Oryzias latipes: one gene and its partner. The protein of the gene in region 2 purifies or fractionates together with the protein of the main gene of each other region. This does not show direct contact. Links are inferred from orthologs where the notes say so. Each region holds a gene or a part of one and is shown on either strand. Other genes may lie near its edges.

Region 1 (3,859 bases), on a different chromosome or scaffold from region 2:
AAAAGCAACTACAGTAACAAAATACAATTATAAGGAAATATTAGCATTTATATTTTGTTTTATTCTGTGATTGTAAAAATAGGACAAGATTTTTTTTCCTTCCAGGTGGAAGAAATAGAGATCGTGATGCCCAACCAGCATTATTTCACCATAGACATGACAAAAATGGGTCTCGTCAACAAAGACGAGGCAAGTCCTTCTGTGACTTTAAATGTTGGCCATAACAGAATGTATTTTTGCGGCTAAAGTGCCATTTTTCTCCTCATTAGGTGTATCTTCCTCTGGATAACCCCTCTGGGAACATCACAGGGACCGTATGCAGGAAACGAGCACGACTTTGAAAGCAGTTGAAGCAACCACCGAAACAAAAAAGTCCTTCTGAAACCATGTGGACAACAAACTTACTGTCAGCTCTCATGATGAGGATCTAATAGTTTAAGCTGATCTTGAATAAGTTTGATGTAAAATGAAAAAAAAAAAAAAAAAGTGCCCGCCAATAAAGATGTTTGCTGAAGTTGTTCTTTGGTGAGAAAAAAAGCACCATTTATTGCAAATCGTAGATTTGAATATTCAAACTCCAGTGTTATGTTGAACATGTACATAGGTCACACGCACTTTAAAACAGTTGTCTGTGCGACAAAGCTGAGAGCACCACAGGTAGGTACATCAGAGTATTTACACATAAATATCTCAATATCAAAAGCCTCAACCTTAAATTAGTTGCTGTGAATAACAAAGAGACTTTTGGTTGGGTGCTTGAGTCGGAGGAAAAAAACCAAAATGTGTTATAACATGCTCTGGACAACTGACACACACAGCTTCAAAACATAAAAACTGAATTTAAGACAAAATTAGACGCATCTGAATTCATTTTTCTGCCGGGTGAGACAGAACTTAAAGTTTGATATATACCATCTTATATACATAAAGGTCTTCTCATCACACTTTAATTTACTTTGAACACACACAAACACGCATCAATCATATCTGCAGAGTATACACCCTAATCGTCTTTCTTTTTAAATAAACAAACAAAACAAAACAAAAAAAACACACTTGCCAAGCAGCAAAAATAAGAATGGTTGAAAGGATCAACAGCATGTGCAGATCATTTTTAGGATCTACAGATATATATATATAAAAAAAAAAAAAAAAAAAAAGAAAAAGCTTACAGCATTCAAATTCTGTTAAGGCGCCACCGCGAACAGACGAGTCTTGGCAGCTAACCTGGGATCTCCTGGCATGATTGTCACTGAGGTGGGTCGTGGGGTGACCTGCAGTGCTATGAGGCGTTAATCTTCAGGTGCTGGGTTTGCAGCGGCTTCACGTGGTACTCGTAGATCTTCAGAGCGGGGCCCAGCTTTATCGACAGCCCCGTCAAGACGTCGTTACGCGTCATCAGCAGCAGGGATTTGCCGTCTATTTCCTGAGGACAAAACAAAAAACAAAAAATGTATCGACTTTGGGCTCTAATTTATAGGATTTCATTTTCTGATGAGGTTGGGGGGGGAAAAAAAGCCAACAAACCTGATCCTGGAAAGCAACAGCCTGCTCCTCAAACCCTGTTGCTTTGAAATAGTTGACAACATCAGCGACTCCCCAGTTGGACGGGTCTGGCAGCTGACCGTTCTCCACCGGGCTGTGGAGAAAGTTACACAACTCATGAGCCTAAAAGCACACAATGTTTTTATTTTATTTTTTCAAATGTATTCCAATAAGCAGTACTTTTTGCTGTCGACTGAGCCATTTGCCTTGTCTTCCATACCGGCTGCAAGAAAAACAAACATACTGATCATAAATTTGTAGGTTTAATTAATATTGCAAAGCAAAACAGTTTAAAAATAATTCAACTGGATCTCATCCCAGAAATCAAGTTACTAGTGTATAAAGGAGCTAATTGTAGCAGAATCGGAAGTGCCTGTAGGGGTTTCAGCAATACAGCATAAATCTGGAACATAAGTAACTTTCAGCCTCCTAATGTAAAGCTAAAACTCGAATTTTAAAGCAGGAAAAAAAAGCATAATTCACTTACATCCTGTAAAGCTGCAGGAATCTTTCATCAGAACTTCAGGAGAACTTACTGTGTGAACAGTTTGAACACCATCACTGCTGATCTGTTAACAGTGTGGAGTTGAGTGTCCGCTGCAAAAAACAGCCACATAATCCAATTGTTAACTATTAATGAAAAAGACTAAACCAATGCTGGTTGTAATCCTTCGACGACACTTGTCAAGAATGGAAATGTCCCACTTAAATTTACGTTTTAAATACATTTAAAAAGGGGGGAAAACTGTATAATATTGTGGTGATAAATTAAAAACTGCGCCGCCACGTCGTTTAGATGCACAAAAATATCCCGAATATATTTTAAAATACAACAAATCCACACGGTTACCTAACCGATGACAGATAGTTCTCGTTCCATCTTCGTGTTTTGTAATAACCCTAACGTTAGGCTAACAGGGATAGTTAGCATCGACTGCTGCTAATAAAAAATTTAACAGTTACCTTATTTTGGGAGATTCCACCTTGACAACAATTGCTCGTCGGGGCTGCACGAATATTTCAACAAAGAAAAGGTTTGTTTACTTATTCAATTATTAACCAATTAATAAACGGCTGTGTTTATTTGATAAAATCAAATTAAAATCAAGTAAAACCAACTAGCTGATTCGCGTTTGCTTCCTTCGCCCACGTCACTAGAGGATCATGGGAAATGTAGTACATATTCATAGGTTTGTGGTCGAAAATTCAAACTAACGCAATGTACGTTTAAAAATAAAGTTTAAATTAACTTCAAACAGTTGTATGTTTAATAAAAAATTTATTACTGTGACATATCCTTTGTTACATAAAAACTGCTACAGCAAAGAAAAAAATCCCCTTGCAAACACAGGTAAATATGGGTGGGAAAAGGTGTCAGCCATTGAAATGATGTGCAAAAAGTGTCACAAACAAAATACAGAAACAGTTCAGATTATTGATCCCATACTGGCACGTGTGGCTAGCTACAATATCTCATAAATTAAGTTTCCATTTTTATTTAGCACTGTAAAGTGGCTCTGGGAAAAGCTTCATCATTTACACCAAAACACACAGATGGGAAGAAGGAAACAGAAACACATTGCCTGTGGCTCTCATTTACTTCTAGCAGGAAAAAGGCATGATGAGTTGCTCTAAATATAATTTAATTTTTGACATTTGACAAAATTGTTTTTAACAATTAAAAAAAAACTTTTTTGATTATGTTGATTTCCAAGGAAAAGAAGAAATTCCCAAATATGTTAAAGTGGAGGCATTAATTCAAATTTAACATACATTTTTTCCTTGATCAATTGGTAAAAAAAAATAAACCCATTTGTTTAGGCTACTGATTCTAAAAAACAAAAACACAAAAAGCAGCTTACTTATAAATTAAACCCAAAAAGTAATGTTTTATTGCAGAAAATTGATAAAACGAGAAATTATTCTGTATACAAAATTAAACTGGGACTAATCAAACAAAATGTACTTTATTCGACCAAAAATATTTACCAATTGAGATAAAGCATTAATAACCCCAAACTCTATTTCAGTATTGATTATGACTGTTGCAAAAATGATTTAAAAAATACTAAAATAATTAATCTATTCCAGCATAACGTCTTCCGAAAAATTTCAAGATTTTAAACTAAAAATTGCTTTAAAACTTCAAATGTAAAAACTGTGAACTTTTGTCGACAAACAGAAACATGGATTTACGAACTTTGCCAACAATTAAAAAAAAAAAAGAGAGAAAAACCATGGAGATGACACTGTGCCCTTATAGGTATGGAAAATCGGAATACATCCTAGAAACGTGTTGATTTGTCATGCTGAA
Region 2 (4,201 bases):
TTCTGCATTGGAACCAACGTCTGGACTGGGACCAACCTCCATGTTGGGGGCCTCCGTGCTGCCACCCTCCTCTAAAGACACAAACACATGACTAAACGCTGAAACACTGAGCAAATAAAAGGGGGATGCAGTGTCCAGAAATCACTATAGGGAAAAAAAGTGTATTCTACAAACTGAAAAGTGTAGTTCTTTATAAAAGTAATGTTTGACACAAGCTTTTATACCTCTAGTTTGAGTTGATCCTGTTTTATTCTGATTGGCTGGAGCTGTAGCTGAGCCTGTCTGTGATTGGGCCTCTGGTGGAGGGGTGGGAGTGTGAGATGGCGCAGGGTCCAAGGTCTCACTGTTAGACACGGCCTCCTGCCCTTTGACCTCCAGATCTGTGACAATCTCAAGAGTCCCAAACTCTGTCATGCGGAACTAAAGCACCAAGGGGGGAAAACAGCAACAGAAAAAACAGCTGATTGAATATAATGACCATTTTCTAGATAACATTGTATTTTGATTATTTCAATGGCCAAATTATCAAGATAATTCACTATATAAAACACCATGAGTTAAAATGATGACAATTTTTGTACAAAAAAAAAGACCAGAATGCAGAAAAAACCTGAACTGTACCCTTATGTCGCTGCCTGGCAGAGTGGCTATCCCATCTTTCCAGTCGAGGGCTCCCATCATGTCAAACTCAGCTCCCTGAGAGGCTCCATCACTGGGTGGAGTGTCAGTCATCCCCACTCCACTGATACGACCACCCTGTAACAAGAAACCACTGTGACAAAAGAAAGAAATGTGCAATGGAACCCAAATGCATAGAACCGATCAGCAGGACTAAGATGAAACATTTTATTGTGTTGTTAAAGTTGGACAGGGTTTTTAACACGAGAAAACAGCCGAAATCACCAAAAGCAGCTCCTCTCTGCACTTGTAAACAGCCTTACGCAACATCACCAATAGATGGCGACGGCGAGCCGGCTCGCCGGGTACACCATGCACTTCGATTTCAGACAAAAACAGTCAATAATAATGCAGTTTTACCGGCAAACTAAGGGGCAAATACGCGCACAAACGACCTCGTTGGGGTAAACCGTGACCAAGACCATTGACAAGCCCGGCGAAAAATGTCTCAACTTTAAATTAAACACACAAGTTCATCTTTTCCTTGTTTTAACAGTATCTCTTAAAGATGACTGTTTCCCGGGTGACGAGCAAGTAAGGCGGATATTTAGTCATCCATTTCACAGAGAACATTGTTTTCTGCACTCACTAGCCAAACTTAAAAACGTTTAAAGAAGTCTGTTATTCTGCAAAAACGTTTTAGTCTTGACGCATGTTCAACACCGAATTAAGGTGATATTTTTGGTTTGTGCCGCGGCAATAACCAGTGTTAAAGTGAACAACAATCCTAGCTTATGGATTGTTGGTCAAGTTTGGCTTCAAGCCGGAAACCTCAGTTTTATTCCAGCCATAAATAAAAGTGTCTCTAAGAGCGCCCATGATGATTAGCATTCGTCTTATACAAAATGGCGGAGCATTGGAAGAGGCCACCAACACGTTCAAACTATGTTAATTACTCAAGTTACCGGTTTAAACAAATATCGCAAAGCTGTAGTGCGTCAAATAAATGCAGACGTTTTCCGTGTAATTCCCAAGATGGTGTTTTTATTCACTCTGCTCATTTTTCTTCACTTTCCCCTTGTCACGGAATGTCAACCCAGCTTGCTACAGCAGCTAGTGCTGCAGCTAACAGTTAGCTAGCCCCCTCCTCCCTTCAGATGAACGGGTAACTGCTACACGGCTAGCCCTAGCATTGTGACTGTAAGCAGCCAGCTAAGGACGATCCGTAATAAATAAGTTTCCCACTTAATAACACCGGGAAAACGCCTTTGCGAAACGCAGATCTCAAACAAAATATTAAATGCACTCAAACAATAAGATCGTGCCACTGTTATAAGCTTAAACATTGTTGCTTGATTTATTTCTTCAATAGAAACTTGAAAAAAGAAACGATTTATTCTCGCCGTTTTGAATCAGAGTGGAAATAACGCAAACTAATGTTATTTATCAAACTAAACTCCGTTTTCCCCCTAAATTTAGCCCACGTTCGCGTCAATAAATAATATTTAAGGCCCGCAATGTTTTGAAAATTGTGGAACTCACCTCGTTTCTGTTTTAACTCTTATTTAGAGCTGGATAGACGATGCGCATGCGTGCAAGATGCGCTGCCTGACAACTTTGGGTCTCGGAAAAGTTCAATTTACTTTTAGTGGTCAATAGCAGGCACGCGTGCGCAAAGCACGCGCCCAAACCCCAGTTCGGTACCAGTATAATAATACTCCCAGCAGGATACGGGGGGTTCCTCTTTCCCCTTCCCACCCCGAACACGAACAGTCTATGAAGTCACCAAGAACTAGGAGTATCATAAAGCGCAGGACCGCAGCGCTCCATTAACCGTCGAGAAGCGTCTAGTTCCTCTGTGTTCAAACAGTTTACGTGCCCATTTGAACCACGTTACTCTCTGGCAGTACAGTCCGTGCTAATGCGCTCCGATTAGCCAAGTCTCCGTGTCGTATTCGAGCTAACATGCGCTAATGTGCGCAAAAATAGCGAAAGGACTACTTGAAAAAAGTCAAATGCATCACGGGACGGTGCACCGGTGCTCTTTAGTAACACTGTCGTTTCTGGCCGCAGTCTACGGCTATAAAAACGGACTTAAACATCCCATCCTCCTGTTTGTACAAGTACCGAACCTGACAAAGTAATGCACCAAACTAACCCCGGATATTAACAGAATGTTTGATTTAAAAGCCGCTATCACAACATTTCTATCATTGAATGCAGATTTAGTGATTTTAACTTGAAAAGCTCGATTTGCGCGGTGCGGTTTTGTTTGTATATTTTCAGTTTAAAAGTCCTGGTACTACTAAGACTTATTTATCCCGTGTTAGTACTAAATATTGAGCGGCTAACCCAGATTGTTTTGGCGTTTCTATTACCTTCTTTTTCATTTAGTAGGCAGCATTTTTACCCAAACTAATATTTCACCTACATTTTTGAGACGCCATTATATTAAATGAATATAAATCTGCACACCAAAAATACAGCTCTTGTTTTGTTAACAAAGGTCGCTCTGACACGAAATGAAATGAGTTCAGCTCGACCATAATAGCGGCGTGTAGCGGCGCCGCCTCTTGTCTCCTCTCTGCCGCTAGATGGCGCGCCGAGTCCAGTTTGTGAAGGATTAGCGGCGTCTGCTGCAGTCTGCATTTCTGCAATATTTTTCCAGTATAGCGTCAAGTGCAAATCATGAGATGGCATTCAAAGGCAAAGCGGTCGATTCAAAGGTAAGAGGAGGGCATCGCCGTGCTGTGCTGCGAGGCTGGAACACTTAAAATTATGTTTTTCGATTCTGTCTGTCGAGTGACAATAATGTATGTCAGATACTAACAAATTATATGACACAGTTGTGTTATGTGTTTATTATAACGCCAGGTTTACTTGTGTTATAGGCGCTGTTAGTGAAGCGAAGTCAGTCTGCTTTAACACTATGTTCTCTATTACAAACCGGCAGGTTTCTCACACCCAGGACGTGAAATTACATGCTTGACATCTTAGACTGAATAAATGACCATCTCGTGTGTTGTCTTGCAGACCGTGCTGCTCAATCTCCTGCTCTGCCTGCTGATATTTTATTCTCTTTTCTATATGATCGGGAGCGTGTGCTTCGGCGCGTTCAGGTGAGCACACGCGCATGCGCACTGCTGCTACACAGAGGAGAGCAAGTGAAATTGTGTTTTTTGGTGTTCAAAACTGCATTTCTGGGTATTTCTTTGTTCAAATCATTGTAAGCAGGAGCAGATGAAAAAATGCAGTTTTAAAAAACACGTAGCAGTGAAGTAGGTGCTTAAGTCGGGGGGCACAAATTCCATGCTCTGTTCCGTTCTGATGCATCCAATTGCAGACAAATAGATCACATTTTTTTGTTGCACTGCCAATGTTAAGTTGGGGTTGTGAGGGGCTGTAAGCTAGCAGGACAGAGTGTAAACAAATGGATGTTGGGAAACGAGGACAGGCTTTCTCAGCACCAACAGTCCTGCCTAGAACTCAGCGGTGAATGCTGCTCTGCAGAAACTATGTCCTAGAAAGCAACACACTTTTTTGTTGTTGCTAAAAACGGCATAATCATAATTGAAAGACCATT

What was found. The genes of interacting proteins can lie anywhere in the genome.
Region 1: the proteins of l3mbtl3 (region 2) and samd13 purify together in Homo sapiens (affinity purification with mass spectrometry; 3 studies listed by BioGRID and IntAct, counting the BioPlex papers as one, with this or other methods). This does not show direct contact. The link is inferred for Oryzias latipes from reciprocal best matches to the Homo sapiens genes L3MBTL3 and SAMD13.

The regions. Positions count from the first base shown.
Region 1 is NC_019862.2:9,304,458-9,308,316, forward strand, and holds samd13 (sterile alpha motif domain-containing protein 13), read right to left. Parts: upstream 2,715-3,859; 5' UTR 2,509-2,714; intron 2,490-2,508; exon of another isoform or gene 2,396-2,489; intron 2,143-2,395; 5' UTR 2,061-2,142; coding exon 2,033-2,060; intron 1,769-2,032; coding exon 1,726-1,768; intron 1,640-1,725; coding exon 1,528-1,639; intron 1,427-1,527; coding exon 1,283-1,426; 3' UTR 516-1,282; downstream 1-515. Other genes in the region: uricase, read left to right, coding at 106-189, 270-341.
Region 2 is NC_019874.2:17,836,544-17,840,744, reverse strand, and holds the start of l3mbtl3 (lethal(3)malignant brain tumor-like protein 3), read right to left. Parts: upstream 2,813-4,201; 5' UTR 2,161-2,812; intron 757-2,160; 5' UTR 733-756; coding exon 622-732; intron 421-621; coding exon 225-420; intron 72-224; coding exon 1-71. Other genes in the region: transmembrane protein 244, read left to right, coding at 3,312-3,344, 3,652-3,737. UniProt on the Homo sapiens protein: Is a negative regulator of Notch target genes expression, required for RBPJ-mediated transcriptional repression. It recruits KDM1A to Notch-responsive elements and promotes KDM1A-mediated H3K4me demethylation.